4 linked regions of the Caenorhabditis elegans genome follow. The protein of the gene in region 4 purifies or fractionates together with the protein of the main gene of each other region. This does not show direct contact. Each region holds a gene or a part of one and is shown on either strand. Other genes may lie near its edges.

Region 1 (5,655 bases), 2.0 Mb from region 4:
CATTAAACTAGAAATGTAATGAAGGGGGTTGTATAAACTATGTAAGTGAGAAACAATGAACATTTTTAGGACTTTGAGGAGCTCTTTTATACACCACTTACTGTTTTCAAAACGATGTTTCTCTTTGCTGTGTTATGTGAAATAAGAACACTCCCTGATCCACTGGCTGGAAATTGGCATTCGAATACCGTATCATTTCCCTGAAACCCAATTTAGATGAAAACGGCTACGAGGTAGATTTGCTATGAGCGAGCTCCATAACAGTCATACTTTTAAGCTAATCGTTTTTCTGTTATCCTGGGATGATGATTATAGGCGCTCTAGAAAATTAAAAAAAAACTGTATTGCTAGCCGATAAAAATGAGGAGTTTGGCAGTTAAGAACAGGACTGGAACATGATAAGTCTTACACACGATTTTTTAAAATTTGAATGCTTTCACAATTAGCAACATTTAGAGACAAGAATAAAGCAACATTTCAAAACTTCCAAACAAGCCTACCATCAAACCATCTTTTGAAAATCCGAAACCGAGCCACATATCAGGCTTCACCAGTTTACTTTCAATTTCAATAATCAAATGTCTTCTTTCATGTTTCCACGTCATCATTGTCTGACAGTCACTGGCATCTTTACATCCATTTGGTAGTTTCCAACAACCTCTTGCAGTTCCACAGTCACTGATATGAGTTACGTGGAAACTAGTGACGTGGCATATGAATAAAATGAAAAAAATGAATAGAATCATCATAAGTTTGAATCAACATTGATCATATCAGAGGGGCCATTTATAGGTGTGTTTTAAGCTGGAAAGTCTAGAAATAACAACGGACATTGTTCTTCTTTTCCAAGAAGTGATGATAAAACTGGTTTCTATTTAATGATTCTCGCTTCCAAAACACAATTATTTATTTGTTAGAACACATTATACAAAAAGGAAATTAAATTGGAAACGGTCATTCATCAATCACTTTTGCTCTTCTGGCTCATCATCTTTGCATTGTGTAGCCAAGAAATCACGGACTCCCTTACTGATTCCACCAGTTGCTTCTTCGTGTTTCGCGAAGATTTCCAGATGAGCTTTTCCTTTCCACACAAGTCCACATCGGAAATTGTCATCGTTCTTAGTCAAGAATTTGTAAACTTTGTCAAGACAGTCGTGAACTTTGCACAAAGAGACCAACGGAAGGGGCTTCATCATTTTAGAGACATCTTGCAAAGTGTAAATAGCTGGCTTTCCGAAATCTCCGTTTCCTTTGAACCAACCAAGAAGCTCCTGCAATTAGATAATTTTTTTGATGGGTGGAAAATGTAAAATTATTGATCTGATGAGTTTTATTTTTTGCGCAATTTCGTAGGCCCATAACTATTTTATATTGAGAAAATCTCTCTCAAAAAACGCTGTTCATTATGCGCTCAAAAAATAATAAAATGGTAAAAGTTGTGGCAGAAGTTGCAAAAAGCGTGGATAAACCTTTTTTGTCCAAGTTGGAAGCATCTGTTGGAAATATCGTACCAAAATCTATCTACATATACTTGGACAAGACATTGACAAGATGTTCATAATTCTGTCTAAGTTACAGTCGAGTATAAAAATCTTTTTTCAAAATATTTCATAAACTTACATGGTTAGCATTAGTGAAGAACAACTGAGCCCACGTGAAAAATGGGAATCCAGCTCCTTGTGGGTATGTTGTGAGTACTTGAAGTGGAACATCATGTGGTACTTCTCCATAATTCACTACTTCAATATCCGGGTTCATATCACTTTTCTTTTTCTCTGGCAGAACTTCAGATTTATCTACTGGGACTCTAAAATAATTTAATTTTTTGTTTACTATTACAAAAAAAAACATACGGAGTGGCTTTGACAGCTGCATAATCAGCACAGTCAACTTCATATCTAACAAGAATTCGGAATTGCCCATATTGATATGAAACAAGTTGGAAGAATGGACCCGTTGAATGAGCACCACGGGGGCGAGTCATTCGATGTTTCAGATTTTGATCAAAAGTTACATGTCCGATTTCCATTAAATCAGAAGCTTCCATTCTGAAATACAATTATTGGTTTGTTTTGAGTAAATAAGAATACCGAAAAGTTTAGAAGTTTTGCTTTGAGAAGGGCTGACAAGGCAGATGTTCACTTTTTGGTGCGAATTTTTCAAGAATTTATTTCAAGTTCTAAACTTTTCTGAATTTTGAAAAATCCAGTTACTAAGCATCACGAAAACTATAAAAACTTTTTAAAAACAAAAAAGTTTTTAATAAACAGATAAAACTAAATTTTCTCGTTTTCAGTTTGCATGCCTACCGTATATCCTCTATTAGTTTTGCACCCCTTTGCTCAACTTTGACAGCTCATATCTCATTTTGTTTTGAACATATAAATAATTAACAAACTACATACTATAGAAAACCACCTAACAAATATTTTATCAGTTGACAACTTTTCTATAGAACAAACGACTACTGAGATATGAGCTGCCAAAGTTGAGCCAAGGGGTGCAAAACTAATAGAGGATATACGGTACCTTATTTTTATTTATTACCTATACATAGGTATATATACTACCTATTTATTTTTACCTAGTGAGCAGAACAGTCTTTCCAACGCGTTCACAATCGATTCGGAACAATCCTTCTCCGGCTTCATTACAGAATGCAAAAATCTTTTGCAAATTGATAGCATCCGTGATAAAATGGAATTGAGAGAAATCGATTGGTTTCTTCTTTTTCTCACTGAGCAAACGTGCCGCAATAATGATGGCATCCAAAGATCCTTCCCGTACCTGTAATTATATTGATTTCCAAATCAGCACATTGCTTGTAAAAATGGATTGATTTTTGTTTTCCAAATAAAAAAATCTACACGCTTCTCGTGCTTCAACTCGTGTTTCAGTCAACAACTTATGAACTCACTTTCAAATGATTGACGTCATAAATAATCACTCCATGATCTTGCATCAACTTGCCACCTGGCCAATAGAATGATTCAACAGGTGCTCCTGGAACAAGAATAGTTGCTGTCTCATCATTGAGATACCATTGATACGATCCAATACGGTCTACATATTTTGTACTTGTTGGTCCTCCCTGTAAAATTGATTTTTATTAACGAAAACAGTAGATGATTCGCTCTCACGTTTACTGTAATCTCACATTTACTTTCATACATTTTTTCCACAAAATCTTCAGCAAATCATTTAATTTTTAATGGATCTTTATACAACAAAAAAATTTCCATATATTTTTAAAAAACTTCCATATATTTCTAATTATAATATTTTCATAAGACATTTAAAATTTTAAGCTAGGAAACTTAAAAATTCTAATTTTTGTAGCAAAAAATCTAGAAGACAACTTTTAAACTAATACAATAAAATATCAAGAAGTTTTACCATGTTGGTTGGTCATAAGTGAATGCTCGGCATCTTCTCAATTGTGAAATTCATTAATAAGTAAAGAAATACAATAGCTAGAAAAACATTCTCCAACCAAAAAAAAAGTCCTACATCGATATTTAATAACTACTCACCTTTCCAGATAAATTGTTTAATGGAAGAAGACCGTATGGTTCTTCTTCAAGACCTTCAAACAACCAGAATCCGTCGGCAGACATATCGAACAGCGGCTATACGGCGATCTGTCCAGCGACGTGTTGTGTTTTAAAGAGAGGCCATTCTTCAGCACAACGGATCCCTACGAAAGAGAGAGAGAGAGCACATGAGGGGGTGTTCGGGAACAAAAAATAGTCTATGAAGACAGAGACTCAGATAAGATTACAATGCGGGGGAGCAGGAGCTCCCGTCCAATCTCATCGACAAAGTTTCGAAACACCGATGATGATGACGGGATCCCAATATCTCGGAGAAAATAAAGACAATGAAAAGATTTCGTATAGATTTGGAGGACACACGCACACATCGATTGACCATCACCTGGAGTGGGAGCATTGGGCTACGTTTTTGTGATAACGAATAATTTAAAATGTTGAGAATAAGTATTTCAGCGTTCGCTTAATTTATAATTTTCTAAAGACAGAAATCTGTATCACGAGGCTGTAGAATGACAAATATTTTATTTGAAAGCTCATAATGATAAATTTTAGACAGAACGATTTCCCAACCAGTTAGATTTCAAACCTCAAAAAGATTAGCAAATAAAAATTCGAGCAACATTAAACAAAAACTTGGGAACTTTTTTATTCAAAACGCTTCCATACTGTTCACAAAGGATGAATAAATATAAATTTCTGTAGACTGTTAATTCCCTTCAAAATATGCTAAATAATGTTGATTGGATATTTAAAAAAGAGACTCTGAAGAATATCGATGTTTGTGATCAATTGGATATCGAGGAGTATCAATTTCCAGAAGATTGTGCCAACAAAGGATCAAATAGAAGCTTTAGGGTTAGAATTGGGCAAACGCTGTCATCCAGAAAATTGGCCACTTGTGGCGTCCCACAAGGCGCAGTTCTGTCACCACTTTTGTTTGGTATCTATGTTAATGATATATCATCAATATTACCCGAAAAAGTAGCATGTAAACAGTTTGCAGATGACACGAAATTGTATGTATCGACCCCTAAGACTGAAAGCGAAAACAATTTACAGTCTGCTCTAGATGCTGTAGTAGATTGGACAAGGGGATCAAAACTCACTCTAAACCAATCAAAGACAGTTCACGTCACTGTAGAAAAACGTAGAATAGATTTCAAATACCACCTAGACGGTTACCCTATTGAACGAAAAGCTATTACCAGAGACCTTGGATTTTTATTCTCTGAAAAGCTGGATTTCTCTGAGCATTGGAAGAAATGTATCAATCTAGCTAAATTTCAACTGGCCAACATGTTCAACCAGTACAGTACCTCCAATAAGAAACTAATGATTCTCTTATACAAAACTTTCATCCGCCCTCGTTTAGAATATGGAACAGTAGTGTCTTCTCCGACAAAAAAATCGGATGAGAAAGCAATAGAGTCTGTACAAAACGCATTTTCTAGGCGCCTTTATAGTAGAATCAAAAAAAGATATATTAATCCAACTGATAAAGATTACAAAACTGCCATGGAACGTAACGAACTATTCGACCTCCAAACCTTAAGCACGAGACGTAAAATAATTGACAGAATCCAAGTAATCAGAATGAATACTGGTAAAGTAGACTTAAAAACATCTGAGTTTTTTGAGCAACAAGAGACCCACACTCGTTCTAAAAAGAAATATATCTGGAGCACAGGAAAATCTAAACTTAGGAGACACTTTTTTGTCAACAGAACACTACCCACAATGAAGCAACACTGATCTAATGTTACCTTATCCTCACTTCTATTCATCATTTATTCTTGCCTTTTATACATCGATATTTGTGTTTTTTGCTTCTTCTCCAATGTAGCCATTATTTTCTTCTCATCTCTTTTTTTATTTTTGTTTCGTTTTATTTATGTAATTTATTTATGTAACCACTTGTGATGGTTTGTATCTATTAATGTGTGTTTTTTTTCCTACCTCACGATATCTTCTATCGTAATAAATTAAATTAAATTAAATAAAATTGTCCAGATCCGGGCCTCCAGTTTGAAAAATCCTCTATTTTTAATCTCTCTAAAAATCCGTTATTTTTTGAGAAATGTTAGCTCAATACTGCCAA
Region 2 (4,351 bases), on a different chromosome or scaffold from region 4:
TCAGAAAAATCGAAAAAACATTTCGATTGTTAGATTTCAGTAAAAAATGGAAAACCCGTTACCCTTGCTGGGAAACTTGGAAAATTCTGACTTATGAGCATATTTTTAAAAAATCTTTGGAAAAAAATAATTCGTTTTTCAGCCTGTTGATTTCGAAATTCTGGAGCCAAAAGAAGATATCAATGCTAACATCGCTGAGCCATCCATCACAACGAGGTCCGCCGCCGCACGAAGAAAAGTTCAAAAAGCTGATTAGAAAATATCAGATTGTTATTTGTTCTCTATTACCGGTACAGAGAGTGTAGATAGTTAGAGAGTGACAGACATCCGGGACCTAATGGGGCGGGGCGCGCGGAAGAGACGATTTGTGTCGATTTACGAAATAATGACAACGAGGAAAATTTCGTAAATCGACACAAATCGTCTCTTCCGCGCGCCCCGCCCCATTGGGTCCCGGATGTCTGTCACTCTCTAACTATCTACACTCTCTGTACCGGTAATATTATTTTTCGTTTCTTGAAATTTCTCTTTTACTTTTTATCAAACCTTTACGCTTTCCCTTATTTATATTCGGCTAATCATCAGAGGCCACGCAAAACTAACACATACTCAGATCTCTCACCCTTCGTCCCCCCAACCAACCCCAAGTTTTCGTTAGCTTATGCTCTTTCTTTTTTGCTCCGTTTTTTTTCTGTAATTGCCGCAACAAATTGAAACTCGTGTGAAATAGATTAGTAGTCTTTTTGTTTCCACATTTTTTCCATCGTTTTCTGTATTTCTCTTGCCAACACAAAAGAAAGAATTAATTTTAATCGTTATTCTTTCTCAGATAAAATTCTAGACACTTTTTAGAATGCTAATCTGACAATTTATGCGTTCGGCTTCTTCTCTCTCATTGGACCCTTGAATGGCTCGGCAAGAAAATCGGCCACCTGTGGAAGGCGATCCGATCCGAAAACTGTTTGAAGTACTTTTCCGTGACCATCAGTGATATGCATCCACGGAGCTCCGAAACACTGAAAAAAATTAATTTTAATTCCCAATTGAGAATATTATAAAACAGCAAAAAAACATTTTAAAACGACGCGCAAGCGCGCTCCGGGGCCAACTGAAAATGCTCCGCCCCTAAACCATGGGTCTCGTTAGGAATTTTGCGTTCGTCGTCTATTTTGTTATATTTTTCGTAGTTTTTGATGTTTTTTCGGTTGAAATAGATGAAATAAAATTATTATGATAAGTGAAAACGCCCTAAATTCACATAATTTTCTTAGACATCATTTCGATGTTGAAATCATTAAACACTTCGAAAAATATAACAGAAAGACTAATTCTAGAAAATTGTCGAGCCTAATCAAAAACGTTCAAGTTTAACGGAAAATACCTAACGAGACCCATCGTTAGGGGGCGGACCGTTTTAAATTGGTTGTGGAGCGTGTTTTCTCGTCGATTCCGTGTTTTTCTGGGTTCCTATAATAAATGACCTACTCCATTCCCGATGGCTTCATCTGTGTTTTCTCTTAAAATGTTCTTAACTTCTGCCGAATCACTCATCATCACCAACTCATCGACATCTTTTACATGCAAATCTCTCAAAACTTCGGCAACTTGACTTTTTGTGAAAATTGGTTTTCCGTATGCATAAAATCGATGCCAGAGTCCACGAGCAACGTCTTCCATCAAAACATTATCACGGAGTTGTGAAGCGACAAGAATACGTTGTGGAACGATTGAACTTGTGTTCAACATCATATTTGTGTAGTCCTTGGGAAGACGGAACGGAATTCCCCAATATTGGGCAGAGAAGAGCAAATCTTTGTGCATGTACTTTTCTTTGATAGGAATACGGAGTGGGAGACCGGGGTTTTCTGAAAACTTGCAGTTATATGATTTAGAAGGTACATATCAAACAACTTTCTGATGATTAGCACGATTCGAAAAAAATTTTCAAAACAATTATGTTATTTATCAATGCTCCTATACTTATAAAATTACCAAATATCACTTTTCCAAATGTCTCGAAATTGCTTTCAAATAGTCCTTTTAGGGACATTTGGCAACTTATCAAAACGTTCACTGATCATTTTGAAAAATCCTGAAATTTTTGGATTGTCTTATTATGTTAATATATGTCATGTTCAACTATTATAATGTTGAACTATTGTTGAACTATTTAAGTGTATTTATCTATTCTAGTGCCCTTCGTCAGATTAAAGCAGATTTTAAGAAGTAGAAGTAGCCGACCTTATGATATAAATAGATAGAGGTGCATTTTTTAGAAAATAATAACATACAGGCTTCTTAAGGTTTTGCATGTCCTTTTCCAGAAGTAAATTGAAAGCTTTTATTTTGACATTTCAAACGGAATTGTTAGAGGGTCATGGTTTAAAAACCTTACTTTAAAAAAGCTAATTCCATTTTTTTACGGATATTAGAGAAATTTCAAGACAAAAATACAAAAACTCACCAGTATGTCTGACAACACCAGCAAAAAAGAATGGTTTCATCTGAATTGGAGTCTTCCAAACGGAACGATGACGAGTGATTCCTTCGAATCCAAAGTAACTGTACGGAGAAATGACATCGAAGAAGAATTTGACCACTTTTCGGTTCGGCATTTTGAAACTTGAAGTCTGCAAAATTCATGAAAATTCAGCAATTATTTTAAAATTTTTCGACAAAAAAGCGAAAAAAAAACAGAAGCTTATGATTTTTCTAAACCTTAATGAGCTCCAGTACTAAAACAACTTGAACTACTTCGGGACGCTTTTAAGATTTCTGAAAATTCTTATTTTGTAGAAAAGTTTTTTTTAAAATAATTAGGCACGAAAAAAAAAAACAGCCGAATCACGTTGGCCAGACAATAATGATAGAGTTGAGAAGAAAGAAAAGATATTTGTGTAAACATCAAGGGAGGTACCAATGAGTTGATAGGAGCACAGACACGTGGTAGAGCAATTGGAGCATCAGCGGACAAAAAACAGAAAAAAAACAGTTGGTCTCAAGTCTAGTGAACAAAGTGTAGAATTGTTTGCAAATGACCACGATAAAAATAGATTTTGTTTGGAAAAAAACTTGGGTACTCTAAATATTTGATTTCTATTTTTCCTAACCGCACGTGATAACCAGATGTGCGATTTTTGAGCATTTAGTTGTTTTGGATAAAAGATATGAAAATATACAATGAACAATATTTTCAGGAAAGAAGTTTGGTTAAATGCTTTATGACTATTCCAAATACGCACAAAAATACCTGCCATTTCTTAATTGAACTTTTAACAAAACAATTTAAATGATAAAGGGAGATAAACGTAAATTTATCATGTGTGTACACCACCCAGCTCATTTTATGTTAGAATGTAGAATCGAGGGGCTAAGAAGGCACGCAGGCAGGCAGGTATATGACATACACGAACAAATGAGAAAAAATAAAATTGTAGCCAGTGTAAAAATGATCCGATCTTTTCACCGTTCAATAAAAACATAAAGGGCTGAAATAGAAACGGATGAAAACAACATTTTGTGTTTTTGAAATTCAGTTCTTAGAAGGAGATCACGTGACTCGAGGTGAGTGAAAAGAAATAAAGTGCAAACGGGTGAAAAAGAGGGAACAGAATTGTGTTGTTTGTTGGAGGTTAAATATGTACTTTGGGTTGTGGAATTGGGATTTCATAAAGTTCACGTTTCGGAGAAAAAAAAAAGAAAATGAAATAGAAAATAATCCGATTGGAATAATTTGTTCCGAAAATGTTCCGGCTTTTGGAAAAAACAACTGGAATATATTGTTTTTAAATTTAATTGGAAAACTTTTACATTTTATGATAAGTTTTCCAATTAAACTATATCTGAAAAGTTTAAAAAACAATAATGATGTGAAAACTAACAGTTCAGATCTAGAACTCATTTTTGTTTTCTTCTTATCGAATTCTCTGCCTTCCACTCGCAAATGTTTGCCACATTCTTGACTTTTGGTTCATAAAGAGTGCAAATTGTTTCAAAGTTTGAAGAAATAAATATTTTTAGTATCATTTATTTGGGTTTTGCATTAAGTTGATCTTACTGGCCCAACAAGGAAATTCAATTTAAAAAAATTGGCTATGAAATTTGAATCAACAATTGAGAAGTCCAAAAATAAGCAAAAATAAATAAGCAAAATTAAGTAAAAAAAAGTAAAAAAAAGGAATTTGTCATCGCGGTGATTCAAATTTAAATTTTTTACATGCCTTTTGTTATAAAAGTGTAAAGAAATAGAACAAATTGAAAGAATCTAGTTGAATGCTCGTATTGAAGTAAATAAATAAATAAATAAAATGCTCGTGACTGTTTCTCTTTCCGTGATATATACACCTTTAAA
Region 3 (4,936 bases), on a different chromosome or scaffold from region 4:
AACTGAAATCCATCAACAGTTGAAATACTCTGAAAAACACAACAACAATTTCAAAAGGAAACCTTAATTTTTTTGTGCACATATTTGGGTACGACACTTTCCGTTTTTTTTCTCTATATTATTTGCCCTTTCCCATTCCCCAGACCATTCCTCAGAACCCCCTTTTCCCCTTCCATTTCTTTGTCGAGAACAATAAACACGTGGCAGAGTTTGAGATTGTTAAATGGTTCGATGAGTATTTTGAATTATCAGGAAAGACGTTTCCAATTTTTAAAAATTAATATCTGGCTTCAAACTAACTTTTTCAAACATCCCCGTAGCCATTCTGTTGCAAATTTTGTGTTCATTCAGAATGTAAAAAAAACCAAATAAAAAAAGTTTCATATCCGCTAAGTTCAAGCAGAAAAAGTGGATTTTCAGTCATAAGTTTTAGTGCACAAATTGAGATTGACTAAAGCCGACCATTTATATGCAAAATTTAGGGCTCTCATGAGGTCGCCGTAACGGTGCCTGCGCCTGCCTCATGGCGTCACCTCGCCGCATGTGTTAAAAAGCAGCGGCCGACGACCCACGGGTTCCACATTTGTTTTGATATTAAGACTCAACAATTCTTTCATAAAATCTTTATTCTCTCAATATAAATGCAACAAGAATCAATAGAAAAAACAGGAAACCGTTGTGGGAATGGGTATCTTTGTTAGGGGGAACTATAATACAATCTCATGGCACATGGAATTCACTTTGGGTCTTGGCAACGAAGTGTCGTTGCAAAATAAAAAAAATATAAGTTACTTAGTATTTCCATCCTTAACATTATCATAGAACAAGTTGCCTCTCTTTGTCTGTTCCAATTCAATAGACTCGAAAAGAGCCTTAAAGTTACCGGCTCCGAATCCTTCATGATTCTGTCGCTGAATAATCTCCAAGAATAGTGTCGGACGGTCCTGGCATGGCTTACTGAAGATTTGGAGCAAATACCCATTCTCATCGAAATCCACCAAAATGTGCAACTTCTGAAGACGATCCATATCCTCCTTAACTACCATTGAAGAAGCCGCGAGACGTTCCTTGAGGTTATCGTAGTAGCTTGATGGAATGGAAAGGAATTCACAGCCACGGGCTCGAAGAGCTTCAATTGCAGTAATGATGTCGGATGTGTTGAGTGCGATGTGTTGAACACCGGATCCTCCGTAATAATCCACGTATTCCTGGATTTGGGAGATTGCCTTTTTGTCCGATGTGGCTGGCTCGTTGATTGGCATCTGCAAAATTTTTGTATTAAAAGTTTAAGCATTTTCTATGTTATTCAGTGTTTTTCAGAAAATAATTTAAATTATTTTGTCAATTTTCTGGAGAGCCAGAAAAAAAAACACAATTATTTGAAAATTCAATTATTTTCCCAAAAATCGAATATTTAAAACATTCGTCGTATTCAAATTAAAAAATGGTTTCTGAAATAGATGTTGAAAATGTTTAGATACTCAGTATTCCATATTCAAAATGCCCTGGAGGACTACACGAAAATTACAATTATTCATTTCCCACGTAGAGTACACAATTGTTCCACAAGAAAAAAAAATTAAAACCCGCGATATGTCGGCTGCTGTTATTTTTCTATTGATTATAAAGACTAACTAGCAACCGACATCTCATAGGACACCGTATTTACCAAATCGATATCTTGATTTTTTTTTGTTGAAAATTACTAATATGTATTTTCCACAAGAAATCTTGCTATAATTTTTTGAATTAAAAAAGGTCGTGCGTCTTTTTAAAACCCGCGATTTGTCGGCTGCTGTTTCTTTACAATAAAAACTAGCAGCCGACATCTCACAGGACAGCCGCACTCCATCGATCTCTTTATATTAACTAACCTTAATAGTCTCCTCGAAATTCGTTACAACAATGGAACGAAGAGCCGAGTACTCGGTATGAATCATGGAATCATCAACAGACCAGAATCGATGGAATTTCAGCACCTTCTCGTACCACTGAACAGCTGAGTCCATTTGCAAGTCTGGCTGATTACCGACACAATGATCGAGGAAGTTCAATCCAACGCGTGGAAGAGTCTTGAAGAATGTGGCTGGCATTGGATGAGCCTTGAAGCCGGGCAGGAATGCTCCACGATAATTTTTACGTTCCAGCAAGGTGTGGTCGGTTTCTCCATACTAAAAATAATATTTCATTGTTTGGATTATTAGAAATTTGCATTTCTCGTCAAAATTTTTTCTCAAAAATTTTTTAATTCCACCAAATTTTCCTGGTCAATCTTCAGTGCAATTTAACAACTTCGGAATTTTTGAAGATATTTTTATTTTTAAGTCTCTTACCGTTCTAAGCGTAGCATATCGAATGGATCCATCAGCATCTGACTCTTCAGTAATATCATGCACAATAGTTGCTCCTGCAGCTTTTGCGTGTGCAATAATCGAATCAAGATCCTCAACCTCAAAGCACACATCCTTAACTCCATCTCCATGTTGAACAAGGTGATTTCCGAGTTCTGAATTATCAGGCAACAATGCTGACTCGAAAATGAACACGATTTTGTCTTGTCGAATAGCGTGTTGAGCAGTAATTCTAGATCCTGTCTCGAGCCCCTTATAGGCAAATGGCTCAAAGCCAAAGTTTGCACAATACCAGTAGGCAGCTTGTTTAGCATTTCCGACTACAAATCTAACATGGTCGAATGCAACAAAAGTGCCGATATCTGGTTTTGCTCCTTTGTCGAATGTAGTCATTTTGATTGAAGTTTTGAGTTTTCTGGAATTTATAGAGTTTAAGGATAAAAAAGGAAGAAAAAAGTCCAGGGGGGTGGGCAGCAATTGCAGTTCGGCAAATTTTTTTTTCGAAAAAATTCGGCAAATTGTCGGTTTGTGGACTTGCCGGAAACTTTGATTTTTGACAAATTGCCGAATAACAATTTGCCTGAAGTTTTTAAAGGGATGTTTTATAAGACGGAAACTAAGCCTTTTTGGAAATTTTTTGCCCGTTTTTTCGAAATCTTTTCATGGAAATTTTTTGCTTTTTAAAATAGATGTAGGAGCATTCATAGGATACGTACAATTATGCAGAATTAAATTGATAATCTTTGCCGATTTAAAAATGATAAAATTGATAATCTAAAATTTCCAAAAAAAAAATGTGCACAGCCACAATTTGCCGAAAATATTCCGTAATTACCATTTTTGCGGCAAATTAGCAATTTGCTGTTTTGACGGAAGTTCTAAATTCTGTCAAATTGCCGGTTTGCCGAAAATTTCCATTCCGGCAATTCAATTTTTGTTCAAATGTTCTATATAAAAACATCAACTTGAGTTACAGATAATTGCAGATTTAATGTTAAAAAAATTGGCCCGCAAGTCGTCTGCCGCTTAATGAACGGAAAAAATACACCACATCTTGTTAGTAAACGTTTTGAAATTTAAACTCTTTCTGGAAAATCCCTTAACCGGCATTGTATGTCTTGAAAATTGGGGTGGCATAAGGGTTGTCTAAAAACAATATCGAAATAAAATTTTTTTGGAAATATTTTAAAACTAGGTAAATATAGTTTACAAATAGTACTGTATAGTAACAAATGTAACATAAAAGCTTTAAAACTATGTAGCATATGAAAAAATTCATTTGACAAAGCTTTGTAGTTTAAAATTTATAAATATCTACAATATGAACCGAGATACAACTCGCCAAAATGAAAGAGAGAAAGAAGAAGAAAAAACTGTAAACAACATCTGAGTGCTAGTAGACTATAGTGGCACTGTGTTACTGCACATAATGCAAGTGCCGACTTTTATAGCACCCTCACGCAAAATTCGGATCGTCACGAATTTCGTCGTCGTCGACAAACTGAAATGAGTCGACGTCGAAAGGGGCGGGCTGGGGGCGGGGGAAGTTGGACACGTGACATTGAGGAGACCACAAATAGTGATGCAATGTGGTCAAAAGAAACTGATAACGCACGTGGGTCGGCATCGTTTCGTTGAAAGATGCTGCTGCTGTGGAGACCCTAATTTGGCGACGAAACTCTTTGAAGATCGGAAGATGCTTGAGGGGAGGGGTGAGAAGAATGGTGAGGTGTCATGGGAGTTTGTAGTCGGAATATAGATGTATAGTATTTTGGTATATGATCTTATCAATGAGATCGAGTAGATCAAATCACACGGACTAACTGTTCAACGTTCTTCAAATTTGCGGGAAGTTCAAATTTTAAAGAAATTTTTTTGGCGGGAAATTCAAATTTTTTGAAAAATAATTTTCAGCGGGAAAAAATTTTTGAGAACAATTTTCGGCAGAAAAACTTAAATTTTCTGAGGTAAAAATTTGGCACGAAATTCAAATTTCTGATAAAAATATTTTTGGCGGAAAATTCAAACTTTGTGAGAAAGACAATTTTTAGTGGGAAATTCAAATTTTCTGAAAAAAACACCCGATTTTTGTTTCACTTTTTTTTGTTTCCGGGCTCACTTTTGTAAAGCTTGAGCAAAAACAAGTAAGGTAAGTATAGTGCCACGTGGCAACATTATTTTAATATGATATCAATAGAGATATGATAATGAATCATTCTCTGTCTACATTTCATCATCATTATCCGCGTTCTTCCACGCGTACCCTTATAAATCAATGACACCACCACCCGGTTTATCAAGATAGGCAGGATTCCTGACCCATCATTTTCCAATTGACACGTTTTCAGTCAGCATGACAAAGAAAACCATCACCTGAAATTCATTTTTGGTGTTGTTTCTGTCTCCTATCTTACACACACATACACTTAATTGACATAACATGTAACTATATCGGGAAAGGAAGCGACGAAATACTTTAGAGATTCAGGCAATCACAGACATTGATATGGTGATAAGAGATTGTTTGCATTGCAAGAGAGAGGGCGAATAAAAAAAGAAAGAAAACGAGGTTGTTCAAGGAAGCC
Region 4 (6,600 bases):
AAATTCGGTGGCGACGAGACCTGGAAAATTTCGATTATTCCAATTTTCACGAAAGTTAACGCCGTGTAATGTTTTCAGAGTTTGGCAAGTTTTTTCAGTCAAAAACACTTCAAATTTACGGCAAGAAATCAGTCAGAAACTTGAAATCTCGAGGGTTACGGTAGCCCCAAAAGTACGCAAAATGCGAATACCGTAACCTGTCACACCGAATTTCACGCAATTTTGAGCTAAAGCTCATTGTCTTCTACATTGTCTTCATATAAAAATATCATTAAAAAAAAAACCACAAGATTCTGTATTTGCAGATTTCCACAGCTACAGTAACCCGGAGAAAGAAAACTCAAAAAGTGAAGCTTTTCGACTTAAACTCTCAAGTTCACTTTATTTTTTTGAGAGAGCTTCCGCGAATGCGAATTAACCACCTCAACAGCTGCTCAACGGAAAGTTTAAAGCTTGATGTTCGTCATAATAATGAGCAACAGCTGTGCGGAGAGCACAAATCAGAGGGAAAAACCGAAAATTCGAAAAATTCCAAGACTCCATATCAAACGAGTTGATAGAAGAAGTCGGTGGGAAAATATTCGAACGAAAAGTAGGGGAAAATGATGGAAAAATAATATGTTTACTTTTCGCCTCTGCGCCATTTTCCATCAAAAAATGGCTTTGCTGAACCATTAAATGGCAGGAGAGAGAGCAGGGGGAGAAAAGAGAGCAGCAGCAAACAGAAACCCGAGAATTCAAGAGTCTCTAGGTTCCCAATTTCATTTTGTGAGAAGAGTTCAGCAGAAGAAATACATGATCAGCTGGTGGTGCTAATTAGAAGGACGGGGTACTCTCTCTCTGTGAGGTGTCACTTTTAGTTGGAAATTTCCAACAAAAAAACTGACAAGGGAAAGGACAAACTTCTATCAAAATTCAGTGACATTTGATTTATATGAAAATCGAGTTATTTTCTAGTTTAAAAAAATTGGGAGAACGCTCCAAATTCAACTTTCAGACAATTTTTGAGCGTTCTCCCTATTGTTTTAACTAGAAGAAACGGCAATTTTCAAATGAATCCTATGTTTTTTCTATAATCTATCACTGAATTCTAATGAAAAATATTGTAGAATTTCTGGCCGGCAATTGCCAAAAACCGAGTTTTATGGGTTGGGCACACTGTAATTGGCCTGTAATTTGGGTGAGAATTTCACAATTTTTTGTTGATGCACCGGAAGGAGAATGATTCACACTTTACTGATGGACTGTACATCTGATCATCACTTGGAGAGACCGAAATGTTCACTTTTTTTGTGTTTTTTGTTCGATTGCACCATGTGTTTTCCAATAAAAATTAGTGTAAAAATATGGAAAAATCAAGTAATTTTCTATATTTTGACACTAATTTTTAGTCTAACAACATGGTGCAATCGACCAATTTCATCAATTTTCCACGTTTCTCCCCCACCAGATACGCCGTTCAATCGATTTCCCATAGCCCTCTCAAATGACCTTAACCTAGTCTCCGTTTCTTCTATATCAATATTCGAAATCTCTGATTCCCGTGGAAAAATCTTTATCTATCTATCTTCTCCTAGATGTATACATGTTTCTGTATGGTCAAGTCCTCCACTTTTTGTTGGATTTTTGGGATTTGAACAGCTTTTTGCTTTGAATTTTTTGTCTTGTAGGCTAAAAAATCTTGAAAATTTATAAAATTGAAATACCATTTTTGATAGTTAATTGAAATAAGTCAAAAAAAAATATTTTTTCCGAAATTTTTACCCAAAAGCTTTGCCAAACGTTTTATTGTGCTATTTTTCAAAATTTTAGCCTTCAAAACGAAATTTTTTCAAACTAATACTAGTGAAAAAGGAGAATTTTGCAATTTTTGTTGTCGAAATCCCGCATTTTATTACTCATTTGCGAAATTTTGCGCTAAAACTACGGTACCTGGTTTCGACACGACAATTGTTAAATACAAACGGATATGCGCCTTTAAAGAGTAGTGTAGTTTTCAACTTTTGTTGTTGCGGATTTTTTCAAAATCGATTTTTCATTGTTTTTTTCTTTGAAAATATATATCAAAAATTATGAAAAATCGATTTAAAAATAATACCACAGCAACGAAAGTTTAGAAAATACAGTACTTTTTAAAGGCGCACACTCGTCTGTAGCTTACAAAAAAAATTGTCGTTTCGAGACCGGGTACCGTATTTCTTGCGCGACGAAATTACTCGATAATTCTCAACTGAATTCCAGGATGGTCTATACCCCGAAAAACGTGGTTATCACCGGCGGATGTGGCTTCATCGGTTCGAACTTTGTCAACTACATTCACGATGCTTGGCCGACGTGTAATTTTGTGAACATCGACAAGCTCATTCTGAACAGTGACACTCAGAATGTGGCAGAGTCGGTGAGAAATTCCCCACGGTACAAGTTGGTACTCACTGATATCAAGAATGAGGCGGCGATTCTCAACGTTTTTGAGCAGAATGAGGTATGGATTGGAGAGCTTCTTCTAAATGAGACCTGTGCTCATTTGAAAGAGCACATTTTGGATAGGTCACTATAAAAAATTTAGCAAGCACTTTGAACTAGAAAAATGTCTCCAGATGTGGATTTTTGCCAGCTTTTGATGATTTTCAGAGTTTAGAGGTGGACAAACATTCTGAAAGCTTTTTGGAATTTTTAAGAAATTTCCAAAAAGTATTCAGAACGTTTACCTACCTCTAAACAGCCAAAAAATCATCGAAAGCTGGCAAAAATCCACAGTTGGAGAAATTTTTTTTCTAGTTCAAGGTGCTCCCCAGCTCCTAAATTTTTTGTAGTTACCAATCTAAACGATCCTATTTCATATGACACAATGACCATCTTTAAATGCTAAAATTCAGATCGATACCGTAATCCATTTCGCCGCTGACTGTACTTCTACTCGGTGCTACAATGAGACCGCTGAAGCCGTTCAGAACAATGTTCTATCGTTCATCCAATTCTTGGAAACTGTTAGAACCTACGGAAAGATCAAACGATTCGTTCACATCAGTACAGACGAGGTTTACGGGGACTCTGATCTCTCGGAGAATGAACAAGGAAAAGTGGAATTCTCTCGACTTGTTCCAGGAAATCCGTATGCTGCCACTAAAATCGCCGGAGAGGCCTACGTCCGTGCCTACCAAACTCAGTACAACCTTCCAATTGTGACTGCCCGGATGAACAATATCTATGGGCCAAACCAGTGGGATGTCAAGGTGGTTCCAAGATTTATTGAGATTGCAAAGGTCCGTGGGGAATACACAATTCAAGGAAGCGGCAAGCAACTTCGCTCTTGGCTTTTTGTGGACGATGCTAGTGCAGGATTGAAGGCAGTTTGTGAGAAAGGAGAACTCCACGAGATTTACAATTTGGGGACTTATTACGAGAAAAATGTTGCTGATCTAGCGAAAACGATTCAAGAAGAAGTTGATCTACAACTCGGAAGAGCCCACGAGCCACCAAAATACAAATCGATTCCCGATCGTCCGTACAATGATCTTCGCTATTTGATAAGTATCGAGAAGGCGAAAAATGATCTCGGCTGGGAGCCAACGACCTCGTTTGATGATGGAATGCGTCACACTGTTGCGTCGGCACTTAAGGAACATAAACATGTGAAGATGCACGTGGCAATCTATGGAGGAAAGGGATATGTTGGTCAGGAGTTGCAGCACGTGCTCAATGATAGACACATTCCATACGTGTTGGCAACGAAAAAAGTCGGATTTGATAGTGATGAAGAGGTAGGAGGAGAGGATGGAAAAATGTGGTTTTGCTGAATTGAAAATTTCCGGCAAATCGGCAAAACTGAACATTTCCGGCAAAACGGCAAATTGTCAAAATTGAAAATTTCCGGCAAATCCGCAATATGCCGAAATTGGAAAACGCCGGCAAAACGCAAAAGCCAAAATTGAAAACTTCCGGCAAAATGGCAAGTTGCCAAATTTGAAAATTTCCGGCAAGACGGCAATATGCCAAAATTAAAAAATTCCGGCAAAACGGCAAATTGCCAAAATTTAAAAAATCCGGCAGAACGGCAAACTTCCGGGAAAACGGCAAATTGCCAAATATGGAAATTTCCGGGAAAACGGCAAATTGCCAAAATTAAAAAATTCCGGCAAATCGGCAAAATGGCAAATTAAAAAATTCCGGGAAAACGGCAATTTTTTTTTCGAGCGTTAAACTACCATAAAATGGAAAATATTAAACTTTTCCAGGTTGAAAGAGAACTTGCCCTTCTTGGAGTGACCCACGTGATCTGCGTGACTGGAAGAACCCATGGGCCCGGCTGCAATACTATTGAATACCTCGAGGGTAGAGCTGATAAGGTTTTCATTAACGTCAGGGATAATATGTATAGGTAGGTGGTCGAGAAAACTGATAGTAGGCACCTGTGCCGGTAATGAAAAGTACCGGCAAATCGGCAAACCGGCAATTTGCTGAGAATGCAAATTCCCGGCAAATCGGCAATTTGCTGGAATCGAAAATTACCGGCAAATTCGCTTTTTTCCAGCGCAACAATTTTGGCGCACATGTGTCGAAAATTGGGGCTGCACTATACGTACATTGGCACTGGTTACATGTTTGCTTATGATAAGGAACACCCGATTGGAGGCGCTGAGTTCAAAGAGGAAGGTTTGTGGGAAAAATATAATTTTTATAGTTTTAAAGGAGAATGCCGCAATTGAAAATTTCTGGCAAATCGGCACATTGCCGGAATTGAAAACTTCTGGCAAACCGTCAATTTGCCGGAATCGAAAATTACCGGCAAATCGGCAAATTGCCGGAATTTAAAATTACCGGCTAATCGGCAAATTGCCGGAATCGAAAACTTCTGGCAAATCGTCAAATTGTCGGAGTTAAAACTTCTGGCAAATCGGCAAATTGCCGGAATTGAAAATTTCTGGCAAATCGGTGAATCGACAAACCGGCAATTTGCCGGAATCGAAAATTTCTGGCAAATCGTCAAACTGTCGGAATTGAAAATTTCTGGCAAATTGGCATATTGCCGAAAATGTTCGGCAAATTGTGGTTTTGAACTTTTTTTTTGGAAATTTCAAAATTTCCAGTTCAATCGGCAAAATTGTACGCATACTAGGAATGTTCCTACATCTATTTTGAAATTTTTGAAAAAAAAATTCCGGCAAATTGGCAAACCGGAAATTTGCAGAGGATCAAAATTTCCGGCAAATCGGCAAACTGCCGGAATTGAAAATATCTGGCAAATCGCCAAACCGGAAATTTGCCGGAAATTTTTCAAATTCCGGCAAATCGGCAATATGCCGGAATCGAAAATTTCCTGCAGATCGGCAAACTGGCAAATTGGCAAACCGGCAATTGCCGCCAAACCCCTGATTACGACCAAATTTCTGTCATTCCCAGCAATTTTTGACTCTCCTCCACCAAAAATCTTTGCGGAAAAATGTTGCTTTCAGACGAGCCGACATTCTTTGGTTCCGCTTATTCTGTTGTCAAAGGATTCACCGACAGACAAATGAACTATTTCAATCAAAATGTGAGTTGAAAAAGTGAAAAAGTGTTAGATAAGAATTATTTCATAAATTCTTTTTTTTTTTTGAAGGGCTGGGAAAACCTCAATGTACGAATAACGCTTCCACTCAGTTTGGACTTGGAACAACCACGAAACTTGTTATCAAAAATCATCAAATACAAGGAATTATTTGATATTCCAGTGTCACTGACCATCCTTCCAGATTGTATGAATGCAATGTGCAATTTGATGGAACAACGAAGCGGTGGAACTCTGAACTTGGTCAATCCGGAGCCAATTAGTCTTTACGAAGTTGTGAAGATTTATAAGGAGATTGTCGACGAGACTGTCAATCCTACATCAATTGGAGTGGAAACTGAACGTGCTCAACATCTTCTGGCAACCAAGGGAAATTGCGCATTGGACACTGAAAAACTGCAGTCCTTGGCGCCGGTTTTGTCGGCGAAACAAAGTCTTATTAAGCACTTCAGCGAAATGACTAGTGCTGCTAAATAATATAATTTATAACAATTTTTTTGGAATGTTTTTTTTAAATTTAACTAATGAACGATTTAAAGGTGGAGAAAAATGCTTATTTTAAGCTGAAATATTCAAAATTTGCTAATTTTCGTTTTTATTTGATTATCATCCTTATATAAATATTTCGGTAATTTTCGAAATTTATTGCGTGTTTTTTCCGTCGATCGAGCAAAATTGAACTTGAATCAGCGAATAAACGCGTAAAAACTGCTTAAATATGGATTAAAAAGTGATAATTGAATAAAAATTGAGATTTTAAATAGCTGAAAAAGAATAAAGCCTGAGGCGTCTAGAGGAAAACACGAGGAAAAAACAAGGAAAAACCGAGCAAAATCGAGATGAAAGGAATCGAAAAAGAAATCGGCGCTAAATTTCAAGAGGAAAACACAAAAAAAACACAAAAATATTGTTTGTTTTGGACTAACAGGTGCAAATAGAAAAAAAAACGAAGAAAAATAAATAAAACCAAGAAAAAAGTGGTGTAGATTTACGGCGCGATTGCCTAGAATCCGACACGCTGCGTACTCCGCTCGGAGAAGGTCTCGCAGGGA

Evidence for each region.
Region 1: the proteins of rml-4 (region 4) and C29F5.1 fractionate together in Caenorhabditis elegans (co-fractionation; one large-scale study listed by BioGRID). This does not show direct contact.
Region 2: the proteins of rml-4 (region 4) and gstk-2 fractionate together in Caenorhabditis elegans (co-fractionation; one large-scale study listed by BioGRID). This does not show direct contact.
Region 3: the proteins of rml-4 (region 4) and hpd-1 fractionate together in Caenorhabditis elegans (co-fractionation; one large-scale study listed by BioGRID). This does not show direct contact.

What each region holds. Positions count from the first base shown.
Region 1 is NC_003280.10:6,301,520-6,307,174, reverse strand, and holds C29F5.1 (START domain-containing protein), read right to left. Parts: upstream 3,651-5,655; 5' UTR 3,621-3,650; coding exon 3,537-3,620; intron 3,095-3,536; coding exon 2,921-3,094; intron 2,791-2,920; coding exon 2,588-2,790; intron 2,052-2,587; coding exon 1,857-2,051; intron 1,811-1,856; coding exon 1,624-1,810; intron 1,275-1,623; coding exon 966-1,274; 3' UTR 892-965; downstream 1-891. Other genes in the region: C29F5.8 (DOMON domain-containing protein), read right to left, coding at 102-200, 501-746.
Region 2 is NC_003282.8:7,239,641-7,243,991, forward strand, and holds gstk-2 (Glutathione s-transferase kappa 2), read right to left. Parts: upstream 2,631-4,351; 5' UTR 2,616-2,630; coding exon 2,465-2,615; intron 1,866-2,464; coding exon 1,486-1,865; intron 1,017-1,485; coding exon 870-1,016; 3' UTR 805-869; downstream 1-804. Other genes in the region: elo-3 (Putative fatty acid elongase 3), read left to right, coding at 143-256. UniProt on the Caenorhabditis elegans protein: Has roles in respiratory and lipid metabolism.
Region 3 is NC_003281.10:10,533,356-10,538,291, reverse strand, and holds hpd-1 (4-hydroxyphenylpyruvate dioxygenase), read right to left. Parts: upstream 2,767-4,936; 5' UTR 2,745-2,766; coding exon 2,334-2,744; intron 2,172-2,333; coding exon 1,875-2,171; intron 1,263-1,874; coding exon 789-1,262; 3' UTR 609-788; downstream 1-608. UniProt on the Caenorhabditis elegans protein: Key enzyme in the degradation of tyrosine.
Region 4 is NC_003280.10:4,292,860-4,299,459, forward strand, and holds rml-4 (dTDP-D-glucose 4,6-dehydratase), read left to right. Parts: upstream 1-2,241; 5' UTR 2,242-2,242; coding exon 2,243-2,482; exon of another isoform or gene 2,483-2,737; intron 2,738-2,876; coding exon 2,877-3,761; intron 3,762-4,235; coding exon 4,236-4,378; intron 4,379-4,531; coding exon 4,532-4,653; intron 4,654-5,453; coding exon 5,454-5,533; intron 5,534-5,599; coding exon 5,600-6,025; 3' UTR 6,026-6,091; downstream 6,092-6,600.